Caenorhabditis elegans: one gene and its partners. The protein of the gene in region 1 interacts with the protein of each later gene in a pairwise test. Each region holds a gene or a part of one and is shown in the gene's direction. Other genes may lie near its edges.

The links.
Region 2: the proteins of abi-1 (region 1) and M57.1 interact in a two-hybrid assay, tested with the Caenorhabditis elegans proteins (2 studies listed by BioGRID).
Region 3: the proteins of abi-1 (region 1) and M04F3.5 interact in a two-hybrid assay, tested with the Caenorhabditis elegans proteins (2 studies listed by BioGRID).
Region 4: the proteins of abi-1 (region 1) and mig-10 interact in a two-hybrid assay, tested with the Caenorhabditis elegans proteins (4 studies listed by BioGRID).

The regions. Positions count from the first base shown.
Region 1 is NC_003281.10:5,689,562-5,694,614, reverse strand, and holds abi-1 (SH3 domain-containing protein), read left to right. Parts: upstream 1-1,884; 5' UTR 1,885-1,908; coding exon 1,909-2,037; intron 2,038-2,084; coding exon 2,085-2,170; intron 2,171-2,216; coding exon 2,217-2,658; intron 2,659-3,149; coding exon 3,150-3,741; intron 3,742-4,225; coding exon 4,226-4,386; 3' UTR 4,387-4,508; downstream 4,509-5,053. Other genes in the region: B0336.13 (Transcription initiation factor IIA small chain homolog), read right to left, coding at 34-166, 281-567; arle-14 (ARF7 effector protein C-terminal domain-containing protein), read right to left, coding at 825-961, 1,036-1,360, 1,401-1,496, 1,545-1,601.
Region 2 is NC_003282.8:3,531,700-3,539,584, forward strand, and holds M57.1 (SPK domain-containing protein), read left to right. Parts: upstream 1-1,941; 5' UTR 1,942-1,952; coding exon 1,953-2,095; intron 2,096-2,141; coding exon 2,142-2,255; intron 2,256-3,688; coding exon 3,689-3,958; intron 3,959-4,009; coding exon 4,010-4,123; intron 4,124-4,618; coding exon 4,619-4,879; intron 4,880-5,868; coding exon 5,869-5,982; intron 5,983-6,028; coding exon 6,029-6,734; intron 6,735-6,780; coding exon 6,781-6,993; intron 6,994-7,242; coding exon 7,243-7,305; 3' UTR 7,306-7,364; downstream 7,365-7,885. Other genes in the region: M57.2 (Geranylgeranyl transferase type-2 subunit alpha), read left to right, coding at 364-568.
Region 3 is NC_003279.8:4,785,319-4,790,285, reverse strand, and holds the start of M04F3.5 (IMD domain-containing protein), read left to right. Parts: upstream 1-1,927; 5' UTR 1,928-1,972; coding exon 1,973-1,980; intron 1,981-4,967. Other genes in the region: rpl-41.1 (60S ribosomal protein L41), read right to left, coding at 880-936, 1,009-1,020.
Region 4 is NC_003281.10:8,277,363-8,282,112, forward strand, and holds the start of mig-10 (Abnormal cell migration protein 10), read left to right. Parts: upstream 1-1,745; coding exon 1,746-1,819; intron 1,820-2,282; exon of another isoform or gene 2,283-2,374; intron 2,375-3,076; exon of another isoform or gene 3,077-3,213; intron 3,214-4,746; coding exon 4,747-4,750. UniProt on the Caenorhabditis elegans protein: Required cell non-autonomously for proper development of the excretory canals and for the long-range anterior-posterior migrations of embryonic neurons CAN, ALM and HSN.

The DNA.
Region 1 (5,053 bases):
TTAGAAAATGAAACAATGATTTGGAAAGTTCATCTAATCACTGTCATCATCTTCATCGTCGCCTGCAGCGGCCGCGTGAGCTCGATTGACTCTCTTGGATGGTCCCTGGGCGCTCAATGTCTGCAGAAGGCTTGTTTGACGACCATCACAGGCGACCACTTTCAGTCTGAAATATTAATAATTATAGATCATCGAGAAACAAAAATTTTTATAGAAAATTAATAAACAATTGCTTTTTTCTAGATTTTTTATTTTTAATACAAATAAAAGAAACACTCACTTATCAATAGGCTCATCAAACGATCGCTGGGGATCTTTCAACGTGACATTATTGAGAATAAACGTCCAAACGTTATCACAATATCGATAAGTGAGCAGTTGTGTCGCACAAAAATTCATTTTCTCTTTTGGAAGCCGCGAGATTTGCTTGTTCATGCTTTTATCAAATTGTTGCAGAACTTTCGAAGCAAGAGATTTCGTGAGAAGTCCTTCGGATTCCATGTCCTCAAGAGTTTTATCGAGTGCCTGACCCAGTGTGGTCCCTCGGTAAAGAGCGTATGACGACATTTCTGGAAGATTCTGAAATATCGTTGGATTAAATTTTTCTCGAGAAGATGCCAGATATATTTTCAGATTATCAACCGAGAAACTATGGATTAGTATGACAAAAAAGAACAAAAACAAACAATATCTTTAGTTTTTAATGAACATCGAGATTGAATTTTTCACAAAGACATGTATAAAACAGTTCAAAATAGATAATACCAGTACAAGAAAAAGGGGAACATACATAAGAGGTTAAAATTGATAAAACGATAAGGCATTTAATCCTTGATTTGGCCCGGAAAATAAGGATTAATATTGACAACAGGGCCCGGGGCTTCCGTCACTGTGTACATCTCCTCGACGCGTATCACCATTTCTTTTCGATTTTGACGACATCCGATGAGACATTTGCGAGCTGAAAAATGCATTTTTCTTTGTTTAAAGAATTTTTAGAACAAATATTTTTAGTTAATGAATATCATCTCTTACATTTGCACTGCTTACATGGCCAATGGCACCCATCACACTCCACCACGAGACAATCACAAAGATCGAAAAACAAAGTCTGTCCTTTTGCGGTAACCGAAAGTTTTCCTGTTTTGTCATGATGCAAAGGTTCGTCTCTCAGATCCGCCTGCTTCTCCGCGGCTACACGTTTCGAGCGGTTGGTGCTAATAATATCCACAGAGTCGGGCAAAAATCGAGACATTTCATCTCCTGGATTCGCGAACTGGAGGCCTTGAAGCTCTCGGTGTGCCATTCTCGTTCGACGGCTCGTTCCTGAACTTTCCTTTCGAGATGATGGCTGCAACTTCTGGGAACTTTGTTAAAATTTTCTTTATTCAAAAGCGTACCTTTGTTTCGAAATCGTCAAAAAGCTCCGCATCGACTTCATCGCAAATCTCGGAATCTTGTTGCATTTCACTATCCGTCGAGAAATCATTTTCAAGCTGAAAAAAATACAAAAATTAAATACATTAAAATTTCAAATTTCAAACCTCTGCTGCAGCTTTCGCCAGACCGGCAATTTGTGCGAGAACGTCATTGGAGCTCATTTTTAGAATTATTGGTTCAGAAATTTAGTAGGAAATATGATTTATATCGATTTAATTTGAATATATCCGAGGAAATTCTATTATTCGATATGCTCTCCTCGCGGGAAATAACATGTGCGTACCACTTGCGAAAAAGCGCGCCGCGCGTTGCATTCTGTGACCACGCCCTCATTAATTTCTTATTCATTCAGTTCCTTTGAGTGTTTTTCATGAAATTTCTGCTGTCAATTTATTATTTTTAAAATATTTTTCTAAACGTTAGTTAACTTTTAGTTTGTTACAGATGCTACATAATGGGGAAGGCGGAATGAGTGTTAATGATCTTCAAGAGCTCATCGAGCGACGGATACCCGATAATCGAGCTCAACTGGAAACGAGTCATGCGAATCTTCAACAAGTTGCCGCGTATTGTGAGGATAATTATATACAATCAAACGTGTGGTTTAATTTTTTCTTTTAAGTTTATGAATTAAACGTTTTCAGAATAAATCTGCTGCGCTAGAGGAATCCAAGAAATTCGCGATCCAGGCACTCGCCAGCGTAGCCTACCAGATTAACAAGATGGTTACGTAAGTATTTCAATTAATTTGTTTTAATTATGAATCTTTTTTTCAGAGATTTACACGATATGCTTGCTCTACAAACCGATAAAGTGAACTCTTTAACAAATCAAGTTCAATATGTTAGCCAAGTAGTTGATGTACATAAAGAGAAGCTTGCAAGACGAGAAATTGGTTCTCTCACAACCAATAAAACATTATTCAAGCAACCCAAAATCATTGCACCAGCAATCCCAGATGAAAAGCAGAGATATCAACGAACGCCCATCGATTTTTCTGTTCTTGACGGAATAGGGCATGGTGTCAGAACATCGGATCCACCGAGAGCAGCACCAATCTCAAGAGCAACTTCATCAATTTCTGGCAGTTCTCCATCACAATTTCACAATGAATCTCCAGCGTATGGAGTTTATGCTGGTGAACGAACGGCTACGTTAGGAAGAACAATGAGACCGTATGCTCCATCAATTGCTCCATCGGATTATCGGTTGCCACAGGTGAACATTTGAAATATTCATAGAGGCTGAAAATAATTTGCTTTTCGTGTTTTTGACAAAACGTTTTCAAAAAAAAAAGGGAGCGAAAAATTCTGACATAACTTATACATTTTAAATTTTAAACTTTTTTTTCTGAAAAATACACTCAATATTGAAAAAAAAGTGAACCATTGATAAATTTATTCAAAAAACGGTTTTTTTGACCCAAAACGACCGCATTTCATAATGAGACTTCTGAAAATATCGAAAAAAAATTTAGAGCGAGCCTGAATAAGAATCTGAAATCCTTGTTACAGCAGTTAGATACAGTATTTATTGAATAATCACATAATTAATTTTGAAATTTTTTAGAAGTCTTTTTATGAAATTCAATGTTTCAGGCTAGTTTTTGTCGACTTCAGACTAAACAACTAATTTTTAAAAAATCAGCTCATTTCCTTTTCAAAAAATTAATCAAGTTTTTTCTAACATAATCCGATTACTTTTTACAGGTCACACCACAATCAGAATCACGAATCGGCCGTCAAATGAGCCACGGATCAGAGTTCGGAGATCATATGAGCGGTGGTGGTGGAAGCGGAAGTCAACACGGATCATCAGACTATAATTCCATTTATCAACCTGATCGTTACGGAACTATTCGAGCTGGTGGTCGGACTACAGTGGATGGTAGCTTTTCTATTCCCAGACTATCATCTGCACAAAGTAGTGCTGGAGGTCCAGAATCACCAACATTCCCACTTCCACCACCAGCTATGAATTATACTGGATATGTTGCACCGGGAAGTGTGGTACAACAACAACAACAACAACAAATGCAACAACAAAATTATGGAACTATTCGAAAATCAACGGTGAACCGACATGATCTTCCACCTCCACCAAATTCTTTGCTCACTGGAATGTCAAGTCGAATGCCAACACAAGATGATATGGATGATCTACCACCTCCACCAGAATCAGTTGGTGGGTCATCAGCGTATGGAGTGTTTGCTGGTAGAACAGAATCGTACAGTTCGAGTCAGCCACCAAGTCTCTTTGATACGAGTGCTGGATGGATGCCCAACGAGTATTTGGAAAAAGGTATTTTTGGAGATTTTAATTTGATTGAAAAATTGTCGGAAAAAAATTCTCTAAGCTTTTCTGTATTATTTTACGATTTAGAAAATTGGCTAAAATTGTTAGTGAAAAATTTATTATAAAAACCGAAAAAAGTTTAAAAAAATTAAATTTAATAAAAATTTAAAAAAGAGAAAAAAACAAAAAATTTTGTGATATTGGAAAGTGATTTTGAAAAATTCAAATATCTCCAAATTTTTTTTTTTTGAGAATTTTCAAATTTTGAAAATTATAAGCTTTGATTTTTTAAAAAGTTATCTTTTTAGCTTTTATTTTCGAAAAAAACGAAAAATAAATTTCCTTTAAAAACATCGGAGTATCAAAAAAATCCAAAAAGAATCGAAATCTTAAGTTGTAAAATGCGATTTTTTGCAGAATTTTTAATGTTACAAAGCAATTATATTTGTCAATTTAAACATTTTCGAAAAAAACCAATCTTTTTTTTCAGTACGGGTCCTGTACGACTATGATGCTGCAAAAGAAGACGAGTTGACACTTCGCGAGAACGCAATTGTCTACGTACTGAAAAAGAACGATGACGACTGGTATGAAGGTGTCTTGGATGGAGTCACTGGGCTTTTCCCTGGAAACTACGTAGTTCCAGTATGATAACAAGAAATGCTAACCCTGCTAAATCAATTGCTTTTAATCTCACTTTTATTCATATTCATATATTGCCTTTTGCCTCGAGTACTTGTATGTGAAAAGCCAAAAATAAACGATGGATATGTAATCATGAAGGAAGCAGTGGTCCCCTCGTTTGCAGCAGTGAGAAGCCTAAAAATAGCCAATACGACTGCTATTTTCGAGTCTCGACGCATTTCCTGAACGCATGTGCTCGTTCTCTCACTGCCCCCGTACTACTCTCTTTTGGTTTTCCTAGGGGCTCGCCTATTTAATGAGATTGCTCATTTTCTCTTCATGCACACACATTCATTCATTTTCTTATATTTTTGTGCCTTCTTATTTCTTTTCCTCTCCTCTCTAGTTTATTTTTTCTTCTATTTTAGAATTTTAAATAATTCATGTTCGGCACGACGAATAGTGACGCCAAAGAGTTTGCAAGGCGTGGGAATTGTATCTTTTTTGGTGGGCGGTGGACACAGATTTTCTTAGAGGAGGAACAAAGGTCAAAAATACAAGCAGAATTCTTGAACAGTTGAAATTCCCGCGCGATTTCCAATAAGATGACTTGGATCGCGGTGGGACCTTAACTATTGCACAGACGCAAAATTTTGTCATTTTTGCGCCAAAATACGGTACTCGGTCTCGACAC
Region 2 (7,885 bases), on another chromosome or scaffold:
TTCCGCTGGGAAAATCGATAATTTTGGAAAAAAAAATTAAAAAATCAGCCGAAAATCCATAATTCATTAAAAATCGAAAAAATCAACTATAATTTTGAAGAAAAATCGATATTTCCGCCAGGGAAAATCTATCTTTTTTTACAAAAAAATTACTAATCTGCTGAAAAAAATCGATACCAATATGACCTTTTTTCTGGGGAAAAAACGGCAATTTGCCAAAAAAAAAATCAATATTTGAAACCCAGGTATTGTAATAGAAAATCGATAGTTTTGTGGAGAAATCAATTTTTTTCAGCATTAAAATCGGGTTTCCCCCAAAAATCAAAATTTTTCTGAAAAATCCCATAAATTTCAAATTTCCAGCCTCCCACCGAGCCCATGCCTATCCCATCTGACATTCTTCTCAATTGCCGGCACTCAAATCGCCTCTGTCTCCGCCGTGATGCCCTTCTTCCAGACAATTCCCTCTCTGGATCGTCTTGTCTTCTGTGAAACTCCGCTCGTTGAAAAAACCGAAGAACTTCGTGCTCAGCTCCCTGGAGTTCGTCTCATTCCGCACTGGTTGTGAAGACATTTTTCGGAATTTTTTTCACCTTTTTTTTTGTGATATTTCTTAATTATTACCTGTTCTTCTTATGTATTGTTGTGGACGGAACGTAAACCTGAACTTTATACAGACGTGACCTTTGGGTCATCATGAACTTATCGCGTAAGCGACCTCTCTTTATAATTCATTTACTTCTTACACTTCTTGTAATAAACTACTTCTCTCCTTGTCTCTCGCTCAATACACAACATGTATGTATGATACATTATCGATTTTTGATTTTTTCTATATAAATTTCAGTATTTTCTTTTGGTAAACTCTCCCTTTTGCAAAAAATGGCGAATTTTGCTTAATTTTCGTGCTTTTTCCACAAAAATCATGGAAATCGCTTAACATTTCGCGTTTCTGGTTCCCCGCAAGTGATTTTCCAATTTCGAAATTTTCACATTTTCCAGTCCCCGCTGAAAAAATGCGTATTTTCAGGTTTTCAGATCCCCGAAAATCACTATCCACAAAAATAATCAGAAACGTGGGCGGAGCTTCGCAGGCCACGCCCATGGAAATGTTTCGAAAAAAATCTGTAAGACTCAAAAATTCGGTTTTTCTAATTTCAAATTTTCAAACGGCTTTAAAGGCGCACAGAAATAGGCCATGCCCACAAAATGGGCAATTTTCGTTTCTTCTCAAAAATTTTTAAAAACTTGATTTTCTCCATTTTTCTAGTTTTAAATAGCGACTTTAAAGGCGCATAGAAATAGGCCACGTCCACAAAATATACATTTTCCAAAAAAATTCTGAAAAATTACACAAAATTCGGATCTTCTGATTCTAAAAGTTTGAACAGAGTTCCACAGAAATAGGCCACGCCCACAAAATTAACAATTTTTTTTCTTCACACAATGAGAGAGTGCAAAGAAAGAAGAGAGTACAGACAGAACGTGCAAAGTCGCTCTACGGATGATATGCGGGAAATTCAGAATGTTCATCGATTTGGTTACGACACTGTTCTTTTATTAATTAAATTTTAAAACGCGAAGAAAACCCCATTAACTCAGGATTTTTTTTTACAAAAACGATCAAAGTTTTGGTAGTTGAGTAGTATGCCTCATGACCCAAAAATATTTCCAGTACGTTTTCCATTAAAAGATTTTTCAAAAAAGTTAGTTTCCAGATTATAAACTAACAAATTTTAGGTAATTTTTTAAGCCGCTACATTTTTTCTAAAGAAATTTCATTATGAAATTCGGTGTTATCAGACAATTTCAAAAGTTATAAAGCAATAAAAAGGGGTCACATATATTTTTTTTTTTCGAAGTGGTTAAAATTTACGGGAAAGGTATACTACACAAGTATCAAAATGCCATACTGCTTTTCAATATTGTACTTTGTTTAAGTATCACAAAAGATGTACACTAATGACGAGCTCACGGAATTCATGGATTTCCTAGTGGAACAGACAAAGGATTCCATCTATCCATTGGTGGCAAAAAAAGTATTCAAAAAATTTCCCAATCGTCGTTTGATCCCGGAAGATAAGCGTTACCCAAGGTAAACAGACCTGGACTTGGCTTTTGTCATCAACTTTTTTGTTTAGATTTTGCTCACATTTTGCACCGAAAATGAACGAATTTAATAAGTACAGTATTGAGGAACGAATTCGATTGATGTATGCATTACGTGGAAAAGTTGAAGATGATTTTTTGACAAGGTGGGGAATAGTAATGGTGGTGAGAAAAATGAGGAGAGTGTGACCAAATATTATCGTAAAAAACTATTTTTTTCCAAATTTTATATAATTTTTTAAAATTCGGATACCGTATATTCTCTATTAGTGCGGCACCCCCATCGCTCACCTTTGACGTCATATGTCTTGATTGATTTTGAAGATATTAAGACCTTTTAAAACATTAAGCATAGAAGGAGTTTTAACAAACATTTCCGTAGTTAAAGACTTTTTACCAAAATCAAAGGTGACCGAGATATGAGCTGTCAAAGTTGAGTGGTGGGGTGCCGCACTAATAGAGAATATACGGTACTTTTCAATTTGCATCGAATTCTGAATTACCGCCAAAACTCCTATCGCAGCTTGATCTACAAAAAATGCGGGAATTTGTTCTACAGAAAATACAATTTTAAACTATGCGAAACCAATTTAGAAGTATGTGTCTAAATTCCTGCAATTCTCGGAGATCAGCCCAACATGGGACATTCTGACACCACGTGATTTTTTATTGATTTTTCAGGTTTTTTTTGTGTAATATTACTGGAAATTTTAGTGAGAAATTCAAGATAAATGTAAATTTTTTATTAGAAAGTATGCAAGCAAATCTGTGAAATCAATTTTTTTTCAGGATTGACGTCGCTCTTATTCCGACGCTTATAAAATAATTTACGTTTATCTTGAATTTTCTACTAAATTAGCAGTAAAATTACACAATAAACATGAAAAATTACACGAGGTGTCAGGTTGTCCCATTGCTCCACAGTACATGAAACACGGGGTTCTGGCCTTTCTCATTGAATTTTCGCGCTCCATTGACAATCGCCTGACGGACAACGCGTGGAAAAGTCGTGTACTCCACGCGGACAACAAACTTTAGTTTTACAACTAAAACGAGCCGCGACGCGACGCGACACGCAACGCGCCGTAAATCTACACAAAATCTCTCCGACCCAAAATGGCCTAGTTCGGCAACTTCTGCCATTTCGATTTATGAGGGAAGCCAGAATTCCGTGATGAAAGGCGGGAAAATATTTTTTGAAAATTTGTGACGTCCGTTACAGCGCATTTCGAATGTTTTTTAGAGCGATTTTTCAAATAACTTTAAATTTATTTGAAAAATTATAAAAAATGTCACGAAAATTTGCGCTCAAATTAAAAAATAATTACTCGAAATGCGCATCTTCAAATAATATTTTCCCGCCTTTAGTGTGCGATAGGACAGCCTGAAACCACAAGAAATCAGGCAAAAAAAAAGAATAATCTATCAATAAAAATGAAAATAATGCAAGCGCGTTCCATCAAACATCGAAATATAGGCAAATTGAGAATTTTCCAATTTTCAAAAAAATCATATAAAATTTAGAAAAAAAAAGTTGAATTTTTTACCTTTTCGATATAAAATCTGAAATAAATTACAGAATTCAAGCTCATGGAACTGTTGAGCTCAATGAAAAACATAGAATCTCAAAATTCATCTCGAATGACGGAACATTTTCCTTGGAAGATGATCGTGAACGTTTATCAATAGACACTACAGGACTCGAATTCGTCAGGCTCTTGGACTTCCTTATCGAAAAAACTAGAGATGTCATTGAACCATTGCTGGTGACAAAAAGAATTTTTCAAGAATTTAGCCGACTTGAGCCCGGTCCGAGGCATAAACATCCTGACAAAATGTATAATAGGAAGTGAGATAGGCATACCAATATAGTTTTTGTATTTAAATCATTTTATTTTAGATTTCGCTATAGTTTGGCACCAAATATGAATAAATATAGTGACTACAGTATTGAAGACCGGGTTCGATTATTCTTTGCGTTTGGTGGTGAGATCGAAGACGATTTTCTGAGGACGTAGGTTTTAAAAGATTTTTTAAACAGTGCATGATTTTTTGTGCACATCAAAAATTAAAAAAAAAACGGGTTTTACAAATTTTAAAACAAAATCGATAAATCATGGATTTTCGATATATTTGACCACTTTTTTGTTAAAAGTGGTGTAGTCAAACATTTTCTATTGCCTTATTATATTCAAAATTGTCTCAAACACACAAAATTTCATAATGAAACTTCTTCAAACATCTTTTAAAAAGTCACGGTGGCTCAAAAATGGCTTAAATTGACACCACGTGCCTTTTTGAAAAAGCTCAATAATTAACTAGTATACCCAAAAGTTTCCAGCCGCTTGACAAGTCTGTCAAATTTCACATTTTAACTAATTTTAGGTCATTTTTTGAGCCGCCAAATTTTTTTGGGAAGTTTCATTGTGGAAATTTGATGTTTTCAGACAATTTCGAGTTTAATAAAGTAACAATAGCCCCTTAAACTTCAAAAAACACTATTTTGCAGAATTGAAACCCATGGAACTGTCCAATTGGATGATAAGAGAAGAATCACAAAATATGTCTCCAACGACGGAAATTTCAAATTGGAAGGGATTCGTCGTCATATTATGTCAAAACCAGCTACAGGTCCCGAATACACGAGATTCATGGAGTTTCTTATCGAAACGACTAAAGATGCAGTTGAACCAATGAAGGTGCCCTTAGTATTGAAGGCATTCAAGCGCCAAGAAGGTCGCAAGTTTACAGAAAATGGATATGGTAGCAGGTTAGAAGTACTGTCTTTTGAATTAAAAACATGCTAACAAGGAAAGACTTTATATTCATTAACGGACTTCCATAAACCATAGTACTAGTTCTATTAAAAAGTGTTATTTGTGATCCCTCCGAAACTTTCAGCAGGTTTGGCAGAGCAAGTTGTGTGAAAAATTCCTTGATTCCAAATGCCGTATATTCTCTATTAGCGCTGCATCTCCAGCAGTACTGCAGTCTCTAATAGTGCTGCATTCAAAAAGGGCCTGGAAATTAGTGATACATGCAGCACTAATAGAGAATATACGGTATTTCTTTTGAAATTCCAGCCTCTTTAAAACTCCAACTTGTGAGTTGTTTAAAAAAGTACAAATCTTTAGCTTCAAATTCAGTAGCTCACTTCAATGGTTTTCTAAAGAATTATAAGCTGAAACTTATATATATATATATATCCATTTTTGTATATGTTTTTCATTTTTTCGAACAAATGAAACTATATTATCAACTTAAGAAACAAGTTTTTTGAAACTTTTGAAATGTTATCAAAGGTGGTGTAGGCAAATTTTTTTTATTGCTTGATTAGACTTGAAATTGTCTGAAAACACCGAATTTCATAGAGAAACTTTTTGAAAACTTCTCAAACAAAAAAATATGGCGTCTCAAAAATGACCTAAAATTAGTTAAAAATTTGAATTAGACCAACTTGATTTCGATGGGTCGATGAATCGCCAGATGTGATAAAATTTGGTAACTTCTGGTGGTTCATTAATTTTAAATATACCTAAATCAATTTGAAAACGCGAGAAAATAAAGTTAAATACCCAAAAGTAGAAGGTTACTTTTTTGTGGCCACTTAATTTTTTTGAGAAGTTTTCAAGAAGTTTCATTATGAAATTCGGTGTTTTCACTCAATTTTAAATATAATAAAACAAGAAAAACATTTTGACTACACCAAGTTGCAAATAATTTCTTTTTTGACAATTTCAAACAATTTGAAAATCCTAGATTTCACAAAAAGCTGGCACCAAATATGAGTAAATGGAGCAAATACAGAATCGAAGAGCGCACCCGAATGATGTTTGCAATGAAAGGCAAAGTTGAATCTGATTTTCTTGCTCAGTAAGTGTTGAATTTCCATATTCCATGCACTTGAATGAGTTTTCAGAATTGAAGCATCTGGCAAAGTCCAACTAGATAAAAACCAGCTAATTGTCAAATATACTTCAAATGATGGAGAGATTGAACTGGGAGGAGAGACGAGATTGGTTGAGAAGAAGAAGCGGAAATCTACAAATTACCACAAAATGCACCAAAAAAGACGCAAAATCATTCGGTCTGTCACGGATGAGACGAGTTTGGTTGCGAAATGGAAAAGAAAGTCGGACAGTTACTACGAAATGTACCAAAAGAGACGCAAAATCGGGGAGAAAGAGTTGTCTGACACGGCTGAGGTGGAAGAAGTAGCGCCATACGATGAGGCTCCCAATGAAGATCAAGATACCCAATTAAATCCATTTAATGCAATGAGTAATCTAACGACGAACGGTCCATCATCGAATGCACAGGAGTGGTCTAACGACGAGCCAAAGCAGGAGCCTGTATTCGAGGATATCTTCATTCAAAATCAACACTTTCCTTCAGAAATTGAAGATGTTCCAATTCAAGAAATTCGCCGTATTGAGCCAGACACCAAGCTTGCCTATTTGAACATAGGATCAAGTGTGCAAGGAGCTGTAATTACTGATTCTGGCGAGATCAAGCTTCATAAATTCTTGAATTCGTTAGAACTCATTCTTACTTCTCTCGAATCAGATACTCTAGATGATTTGTTAAACGATATTGAAGGGATTCGTGTTCGAATAAATGATGAGGTAGCTAGAACTTCAAATGTTGAAATAAATTCAGGACTTTTTTCAGATTCTTCCACCAGAGCTAGTGATCACTGCCTTGCAGACGTTCTTATTGGGAATCACTCGCAAGTCTCGATCCGCAGCGTCAGCAGAAAACAAATCATCACACGAGTGTCTGAGAATCTTCAAATATTCATTGCTTTGGCTCAGAAGCCCTTTGCTTTGGGAGATACAACAGAGGGTTGCGGAAGAAATTGAGAGTCACGTTATAGGAGAAAAGGTATGTTTCATTGAACATGTTGGTCTAGGGCTTTCATGTAGGCGTTAAACGCCTGCCTGCCTCACCTTCGTCTCAACCCGCGCCTTATACTTTTGATTATATCGAATTGATAAAATTGATAAAAGAAAATTAAACTTTTGTAAATTCACGTCAAAATACAAAAAAAAGGCAAAAGACCGAGGGGCAGGAATCAGGCTCTAAAACCGTGGAAGCCCTACGTTAGTCAAATAAACCCTAATTTATTTTCAGATTATCCTAGTCGCCGATGTTCAGCAAGGTATTCGGAACATTCTCTTTGCGGTTTCCAGCTAATTAACTTGAAACTTTTCATAAATATCTTATTTATTTTTTACATGAATAATCTTGCTCTACTTCACGAACTTCTATCTTGCACAAAAAATCAATAATTTAATCTTCTAGAAACTAGAAAGTATTCGTATCATTCATTCTTAAAATAAGTGTAGCTACACTTATTTTACATGTATTTAGTAATATATTATCGAAAAACACGATCTCACAATTTTCTCATAATTTATTTTTGATCTACCTTGTTGACTAGACTCCCTTCGACTAAAACAGCCACAACAAAATAACAACGACACCAAGATTGGGGCACACAAGATTGGGGCAAACAGGTAGATCAAAAATTAATTATGAGAAATTTGTGCGATCGTATTTTTTCGATAATATTGTTTTTGAGTCCAGGTCACAAAACGGTGCAGAATGAGATAGTGCAAAGAAAGAAGAGAGTACAGACAGAACGTGCAAAGACGCTCTACGGATGATATGCGGGAAATTCAGAATGTTCATCGATTCGGTTACGACAGGGTTCCTTTATTAATACCCAAAAAAGCCCATAACCTCAGAATTTTTTCTTTTTTTTTACAAAAAT
Region 3 (4,967 bases), on another chromosome or scaffold:
ATAATACATTAAGTAAAAGAAAGTGGAGGATACAGTTGAAAAAGCGAAGAGAAAACGAAATCAGTTTGAAAATATTGAGAAAATATATTCAGATTGATTGCAAAAAGATTACATTTCAAGGAAAAACCAAAATAAAACAACGGCAAACGAGAAAATAAAACTCATCGATTCGCGTAGCGTTGGTTGAAGTGAAAATTTTTTAGGAACAACGGCGAATTTCGTTCATGTCCTGCGGCGGGTCTCGCCACGAAAACGCGACCGGCGCGCGATTTGAACCGAGTTTCCCCCTTTCTTGCGGGCAGCGGTTTCTCTGCGTCTCTCGCTTTTCTGTGATCTCTCGAAAGCACTGAATCTCTTACAATTTATCGATTTTGTGCCCTGAACGCGTTCGAACGTAAAATGCTCACATTTTCACTTAAATTTCAGGATATTTGTGATTATTTTTTGCTATTAAAAAATTGGGTCAATTTTCTGGAAGTCTCGAGACACTTTTCTTAATTTTCGTCAGATAATTCTGTGAAAATATTAATTTATTAGACCAGGAGAGTTCTAAATAAAACAGCTTCGAATGCGAGCCCAAAGAAGATAATCCAACAAATGACAATGAAAGTTCGACTGACGATTTACCTTAACCAGAATCTTGGACGCACGAGTTCCCATAGTTTTTCTTTCAGGCTTTGTAACAAAGTACTATTATTTGGACAAACAATTATTTATTGGATTTAAAAAAGAAAATTGCAATAACTTTTGTAGGATGATTATTTCACGATGAGAAGCACAAGAAGACGAGTAATCCAGTTGACAATTGTGGAGAAGACGGTGAAGTCGAGATCACAGATCGGCAGCATAATTTGACGTCTTGGAGATGAAGCAGCTTGTCTACTTCTTTGCGGCTCTCCTCTTGCGCTTCAGGCGACGCATACGCTTCTTACGCCACTGAAATAAAATAATGTAGTACACAAATCTTATTAATATTAAATTATAAACATTTCTGAACGTAGTACCTACCTTCTCTCTCATGTTTGACGATCTCCGCGACGGGTGTCCGTGAACGAAGACTGAAAAAGTTGTTTTAACGATTAATATGATATGAGCACACAACAAGAGAAATAAAGCGGTTGCAGTATTCATTGAAGGAACCATTAGAGTTAGAGAAACGGTCTGAAAATGAAGAGAAAGGCCACATCGAAGACAAAACAAATCTCGTTGCAAAGAGCGGAGAGACTGGTGCATCAGGTGGCGGGGAAAGTGTTCTCATAGCTGTGTGATGGGTCTTGCAACGAAAATGCGACCTTTGCGAGCGAAATTCAAAAAACTTTTTTTGCAGCATGAGTAAATATTGATTAATCAGAATTTTCTAGTTGATAAACATCTTAGTCTGCTGTAACATTTCCTGGAATCTAAATGCGTATTCGTTCGAAATAAAACCAGTTAAAAATGTTCAAAAAAGTAACATAAACCTGCAGAAATTACAAAAAGGAAGAAACAAAGCATAGAGCTGGATATTTATAGGAAAATTTAAATGAAATTCCAGTTTTTCAGCTAAAATAATAATTGGAAAGATAAAATAAATGAATTAGTAAAAAGCATTCTTCTAGGGAACTTTTGAAAATAAAATATATTTTAAAAGGGGCGGAGTTATGACAACGCGCTCTATTGATACGTGAGTGGAGACGGAGAGAAAGTGAGCGGAAGCATTGAAGTTTTAAATTTAAATTTGACTGGGAAATTGTGTTTCGTTTCATTTAATCGATGTATTTTCATTTTAACTCATTTTCCTTTCCTTAAATAGACAGAAAACTAACTCCGAGGTGATTTGTTGGCCAATTTATCCGGGTTTCTTTCACAAATCTTCTTTTCTTGCTTTTTCGTTCGATAAAACGCGTTTTAACACGGATTTTTTGTAATTTCAAAGTTGATTATTCAGATATTCAAATTGCGAACAACTAACAAGGCATCGGAGGATTCTACAATGGAGCTGTGAGTTTTTTATACTGAAATTTTAAAAAATCGCATAATCCGAGGTTTAGCCCCCGGTTTCCCTCAATTAAATGTTTAAGCTAAAGTACGATAAGCCTTCAATTCAATAAGTCATAGAAATAATCGTCTTATAATGAATAATTTATGCACACCTCCAGTAGGTGCTCCCCCATCTGCCCAACCAATTTGTTACGTGAGCCGGTGGATGGTTACCCAAAGCTCAATTAATGCTTCTTTCCGTACACAACACACATAGTGCATGTTTATTCGTATTTGATGACATAGAGAAAGAGTCAGTCTATTTCTGTCAATATGTATGTATTCCATCTAATTACCCTCTATTCATCCAATCCGTCAGTTCGTTCGAAATCGCACTCGTTCATCAGATGACCTCCACCGACTGTCATTGTGTGTCTGTTAGCCGTGGCGCCTGGCGGTATAATCCGACCATTAGCCGGCTAAAATCAAAATCTTCGTTGCTGCTACGTTTATAATTCATACATATACATATATAAATTCAAATCGCAAGGATCGGCCGCCCTCTCCCGCTGCGTTCCGTGTTCTTCCGTCCATTTTCAATTAATCTTACGCAATCTGTCTTCGCAAAGACTTTTTGAGGTTGATTGAATATTTTATTTATCAAATATATTTTCTTGTGTTCGTCACGAGATCAATTCTTGACCGGCGAATCGATTTTCACATAAAAAGATGATGAAAAGTGTTCCGGCTTATCATTCATGGAGAATTGCAAGAAAATATTTTAATTTAATTTATTAATTATAAAATATATAACTTTTTTTCAAGAAATTCGTTCGAGGACTATTTTATAGTAAGCTAATTTCAGTAAAAATCTGAAATTTTTCCAACTTTTCCGCGTCAGAGCAGTTGGAATTCAACCTTCAATTGCCATCCTTTATTGTATATTTTGGTCGTTTGTCTCAAATTATTTCGAGTTAGTCTAGGCAAAAATGAAATCTAGAAAACCGAAATTTAAGAGTATATTTTTAGAAACAATGTGTCAATTTCCGATATTATCTCAATTCCTAACCAATTTTCTAGATATAATCTGCCATTCGCCAATTTTAAATTGTCCATAAAACCTAATAATACCAACGATTTTTTTGAAGAAAAAAGTTGGATCAACCGATTCACAGGCGCCTGACGTAGTTGTAGTAGACGCACTCGTTGATATATAGCCGTATATCTATCCGTTGCTTCTCCTTCCACCCAATACTCCTGAATGGATCAATCGGTTTGTGTGTGTGCGGATGTGAGTGAGTGTGTTCGATCATTGAAAACGAATAGTACATATTAAACTACTTTTTGTTGCATCCTGGCGCGTGGAAGAAGAGACCACCGCCTTTCACCGGCATACCCGTCGTCGCTCCGCTTTTTGTACACTTTTAATTGAAATTTTTTTATTGCATTACGAATTGGGCAATACTCGTCATATTTATTGCACATAATTTTTCCCGTGTTAGGGCGATATGTTGTGATTCGTGGTTAACTGCGCCTTTAAAGTGTACTGTGGCTTCAAACTTTCGTTGCTACAAATTTTTCATGGATTTTTCATAGTTGTTCTTTAAAAATAGATTTATTCATTAAAGACACTAAAACAAAACAGTTATTAAACATTTAGAAAAATTACAAATCGTTTTTTTTTCGTGTCAAAACCGGTTGCAGTAGTATTTTTGGCGCAAATTTTCTTTTTTTTGTAATACCAAATCAATAAAATATAATTGTTACTAATATTGCTAAAAATATTTAATTTTGGAACTGATTTAAAAAACACACCTTCAAGGATCAAAAACAAAATAAATAGCAACTGCTAGGTTCTAAAGTTGCCGCCTAGCCTATATGACCCATCCTAGCCTCATTATAATTTTTATGTCCTAGGATGCTCCTCCTTGTCTTTTTGAGACCGAACAGCTGTTTCCTGTTGGCCTACATGTAATTATGCCCATTTTTTGGCACCAACCAGCTATATTCCCGCATTGGAGAAATTCTTCAGAAAATCTTTCAACTAAATTACAGCCCTTGTTCTTCACACAGTTGACCCTCTTCTTCTTTATTCTCGGATGGACTTCTCAGTGTTTCGACCTTCTTTTTCTTCCCGACAGCTGTTATTTTACCTCGCGCACCCCGTATGACAGCTGCAGAAAATAGGTGGTGGTGTCCAGAAGGATATGAAGGGGCATTTGGAAAAGAAAAAGAAGAAGACATTGTCCCTCATCTTCTCCTTGTTTCTTGAATCTTAAAAGTTTCGAGTGGCCGTTGTTTATATTAGCAGCCGCGAAACCCATTAGTAGCCAACTATCCTTCGCCGCTGCCGACCCCTCTTCTTGCTCCTCATCTCGCTTTTTTCTTCACTTTGCAACATTTATCTCATTTTGATTTGTTTTTCTTCTCCTCGCTTTTTTTCAGTTTACTGCAGTAGAGTAAAATTTTACGTAAAAGGGGTTTTACCCAAAATGGCCAAAAACTAACAAATTTTGTAATCCGAAAAAAATTCTCAAAAAAGGGTATGTTCGTTCAAAGTTTTTGGAAAAAGGCCAATTTTGAGTAGGGTTGCACAAATCGGCGTCCGGTCGTCCGATTTTGACACCACCGGACGCACTGCGTCCGAACCGGACGCATGTGCGTCCGGTTCGGACGACCGGACGTCCGGTTGTACAGCCCTAATTTTGAGGTTAAATATCAGAATTTGCCAATTTGTCAGTAGCGGCTGGGACTCAATTCGGGGGTGGCAAACGATTTTTTTTCCGGCAAATCGGCGAATTGCCAGAATTTAAAATTTCCGGAAAATCGGCAAATTGCCGGTATTGACTATTTCCGGCACATTGCCGAATTTGCCGGAAAAACGGCAATTTCCGAAAATTATCGGCAACATTGTACGCATCCTACATCTATTTTGAAAAGTTAATTCTGTGAAAATATCTAAAGAAAACGAACAAAAAATTTCAAAAAATGCACAGTTTTCAGTGTTT
Region 4 (4,750 bases), 2.6 Mb from region 1:
AAAGCAGAACATTTTTATTCAACTCTATCTGTAGAGTAGTCTTACTATGTGTTCATTCCAATTGTGAAAAACCATCAACTCATCTACATAATGGAGGGTGAGTTGAATAAACATTTTTGAAGTACAAATAGCTTTTCGGTTGGAAGTTTTACAAAAATTCTTGCATAAAATACTCATTTATCTTGGCTAAACTTGGCGACGCTAACTGTAATTATTTTCGGGAAATTTGAACTATAGTTTTCTATGGTTTCAGCAGAAACTTCACTTTTTTTTCAAAAAAAAAAAAACTTGAAATTTCCAACTTCAGAATGTGCTCTATACCTTACTTACCTATAACTACCTTACTGCTACCAAGTTTTTCTGAAAACTTTTTTAAAAGTTCTAGTTTTGATTGTCTTGTAATCTTCTTCATTATAGTTTCCTTACCGTATCGTGCCGAGCGACTCAATTATGAATAATCCTCTTATTTTTTATGTCAACTCTTCCAGATTACGCGCGTTCCTTCCATTATTTGCGCACTCTGAACTCTCCTTCTGTTCCATTTTCTCTTCGTTTTTCTATTCAACCAAAATTTGCATATTCTATACTCAATACCATATTGATGGTCCGGTTGTCCCACGAGACTTTATCATAAAAAGGTCATTATATGCTTCTTCTGCTTCTTTTCTCGCGCATTAGTACGTTTTTGCCGCTTTCTTTCCGCGCGGAAGAGATATATGTGTCCCTCTTTGCTGTCCCCGCCTTCTTTTTTATTCTTTCTTGTTGTTGTGCGGGGGAGGGGGGTATCCCTTGACTTGTATCATCGCTTTTGCACTTTGTTAGCAACGATCCCGACAGAGGGAAGGTCAATCACTTTTTTATGCAGATGTTGTTGTTTTTTCGAGGAGACGGAAGAAAATTTGGTGTAGATTATTTAGTGGTCAATTGGGTTTTCCTTCTGTCTTAAAAACTTTAGACCACACACTCAAATTTGGCCTTGCATCACTTTGCTCTACTTTAACAACTCATAAATATCTCGGTCTTCTTATATTTTATTGAGACATTTTAAACTGTAAAAGTAGGTGTCAAATAATTTGCTATATTTGTATAGTTGAACAGTTTTTCGTTGAGCTTAAACCACTGAAATATAAGCCGTCAATGTAGAGTAGTGTGGTTCAAACATAGGAAAATACGGTATTTAGAGAGCGGAAATCTCAATTTTGTTTTTGTTATTGTTTTATTTGGATTAGCTTGACAAGTCGTGTTTTGAATTTTTTCTAGATTGCAAGGGTTCATAATTTTTTAACTTGAGAATAAAAAGATTGTTCTACATACAATACATATTTTTAAGACTAGAAAAAGTGGATTTATTGTGACAATAAACTAGAGAAATCTATGAAAAAAATTCAATAAAAGTCTGTTTCCTGCTGATTGAAAACTAGATATTCAGAATTTAGTATACAAATATTATTTGCGCAAGTTTGGGCAAATACTTTGGATATTTCTAAAAGTCGAAAAACGAGCAATTTTTGATGCTAGATTTTTTGATTTGACGAATTTTTTCAGTTTTTTTTCTTTAAAAAAGGTTTTTGACCCCTTAAAGTTTTCCTTTCCCTTCCAATTTTTTCCTTCTTTCTTATACGACTTCTCAAGTTTCAACTCTAAAACAAAGCTACATGTACATTTCCGGTAAACTTTGTGTCTCAGAAGATCCATTTTCTTTTTGTTACATTTATTCAAGATTGAATTCCAAAATTTCAGCCAATATGGACAGTTGCGAAGAGGAATGCGATCTGGAAGTTGACAGTGACGAAGAAGATCAACTTTTTGGTGAAAAGTGGTGAGTTCTTATTGTGGTAACCAAAGAAATGTCAGTGGTCCGTAAACACTTGACTCCCAAATGGTTTCTCGTAATTACCTTATGCACACTTTTCAAGTGTTTGCCGTTTGATCTTAGCCAATTTGAAACGTTTAGATGTTAAATGGAAAATGGGTAAAGTTTTTTATTTTATAGAAAAAAGGTTTGGAAAAAAATCGAGTCACTGAATAGTTTGAAGAACGGAAAAATAAAACTTTCCAAAAATCATAAAACATTTAGTGTTTCGAAAATTATAGTGTTTTTTTTGTTGGTATGTTTTGACAAAAGCTAAACCATCTTTATTGTAGTTTTGTAAAATGTTCACAAAGATGCGTTTTTTTTTCAAATTTGGCAGGCTATCTTTACATTCACATTTGGATAATTCAAATTTTTCTTATCGCTAACAAATTTTCCTATTTTTCCAATTATTCGTTTTTATAAAGCTTTGGTAGTATGTTGTGTCTATCTTTAGTGGTCATCAGTTGACCGGACCTTCACCCTCATCGAGCAAAAGATTGCTATCTCAACTTGCGTTTTTGTCTGTGACTCACAATTTCCTATAATCTCTAAGCTGGCATGTTCGTACGTCCTTTACGCCTATCTCGTGCATTCAGATAACTTGATTATATGTTCTATTTGTTGGTTTATTGGCGATGCTTCTGAATTGATTACTTTTTCTTGTCGTGTTTCGTAACACTAGTATTAGCAGTAGCTTCAGCCTAATTTCCAGTTAGGCCTTTTTTCCAATGACCTCATTTCCCGTATTCTATACACTTGATTAGTTTTCTTTGGTTACGGTCATTTATCATTCGCAGATGATTTAGTGACAATCCGGCAAAAGAAATAGAACGGAAGGCCATCCAGATGTGATTTTCTATGATCTTTTCTTGTTGGCTGTACGGTTTTCCTTGAAACCTACTGGATTTTCGTTCAGAATTTTTTGTTGGTTTTCCAAAAATATGACTTATAGCTTAGATCGGAATGTAACAAAACTTTTGAATGTGTGTTGAAGTGTTCAGAACTTTTTATTTCATGTAATTTCTCCAAAGAAACCGCAGCCTTTTTAAAAAATTATCTAAATTATTTGGTAGGATACTAGATTACTCAGCCTTACTCAGCCCTAGGAAAAATAATGTCTCCACAACGCAACTCTACTTCCCAAACGACAGACAAAACTCTTTTTTGTGCAATTTTTTCAAGATGTTCTAAAGTTATGAAGCAAAGTTAAGTTACGAATCAATATTATTCAGAAATGTTCCATTTGTGCTCTTTTTCATTTGTTGCAAAGCTCTGAACATACCAGAGCATTGATGAATAAATCATTCGCACTCTTCCTCGTCTCTTTCTGTTCATTTCAATCTGTGCGCGAGCATGTTTCATGGAACATGTGTATGAATTCAAAAGAGACACAGAGAAAAGGAACGACATTCTGAAACAATGGGTTGTCCGTTCTCTTGTCCATTCTTGTTTCTGTGTTGCACTCTATTTCTCTTTTCTTTCACTTTTCTGACTTTTATTGCTGCTCTTGGCCATGAAAGTGAAATTCTCTGAATTTTTAAAGATAGTTGCAAGTGTGGTCTAATTAAGTTTGAAAGTCGGGGAGGTCTAGGAAAAGGTAACCAAGATACTAAGTAAGTTGGAAGAAAAACGGAGAAAATTGGTGAATTTTTTTCAAGAATGACAAGAAAGAAAGAGCTACATAACTTCAAGTCCGCGAAACGATTATTTTTCAATAACCATTAGTAAAATTTCGCAATGGCGTCTAAAAGTTATGAAAGTTTGCCAAAATTGATATCATTTCTCCTGAATCTCTAAATAGATTTTTTAAAAATAATTTTGTACTGTGAAAAATAGAAAAAATAGAAAAAACAACAAAAATATACAAGTCATAGATTAAACATTAACCAGAAAATCATCTATCAAAAAGTTGAAAAAACTTTATATAGCTCACATGGATTTTCAATAACGTTTTCAAGCCCTCTCTACAAAAAACTATCAAAAAATTTCTAATTAACACCATCCAAACCCCAATTTGTTTATGAACTAACTAAAATCCTCGAAAATCCGGCAAATCCTCGTGGCTAGCCAGGTGTTCATCGGTCCGTGTTGTTGCCATGTGTGTTCCATTTCTGATGTTCATTCATCGTTTTTACCGGAGCGTGTCCTTTCCGTCAGTTTCGAATTGCTTCAAACCTTTCAGTTTTGAATCACCAGAAGAGAACAGCCTTGTCATGGTAGAGTATGTTCACTTTCTTGACCCCTTTGACTCTCTCTTTGTCCATCAAAATGCTGTCGTTCACTCTTTGTTTGGGAGCAATTCATCAAAAATGTTGGCAGATTGTTCCCTGTTCCTCTTTCTTTTCTTATGAAGTGCCATCTACTTTTCAATTCTAGAAACTTGAAATATTCTTTCAATTTTAAATGTGAATTCAAAATAGAGAAGTTGATTCAGAAAAGCCCTTTTTTCAATTTTTAAAAAACTTACATTCAATGTTTTGGTAATTTACGAAATGTTCCAAAAATATGGGCATTCTAAGTAATTTCGAGCATTGGTTCGTCCTCAGAATGTTGAAATAGAGCAATATATGCAAATAAAAAAAAAGGCAATTAAAGTATAAAAACTCATAGAAACAAAAATCTGCCACACTTGAAATTATGATAGGTGCAAACTAAGTTTTCACAACACAATTTGAATTAAAAATTCAGACAAGTTTTTTGAAAAGATTTACTATGATATTTGAGTTTTTCCCATTTGGAGAGGTTTCTAACAAAATTACTTTCTAAGAGAAACACAACAAATTTCTAAATTCCATTGATGTGTTCCATTTTTCAAATTGATCCACTTAAAGAATGCATTCTCGTTTATGTAAACATGAAAGCATTCCCAATAAATTCCATTCATTTTACAGCATT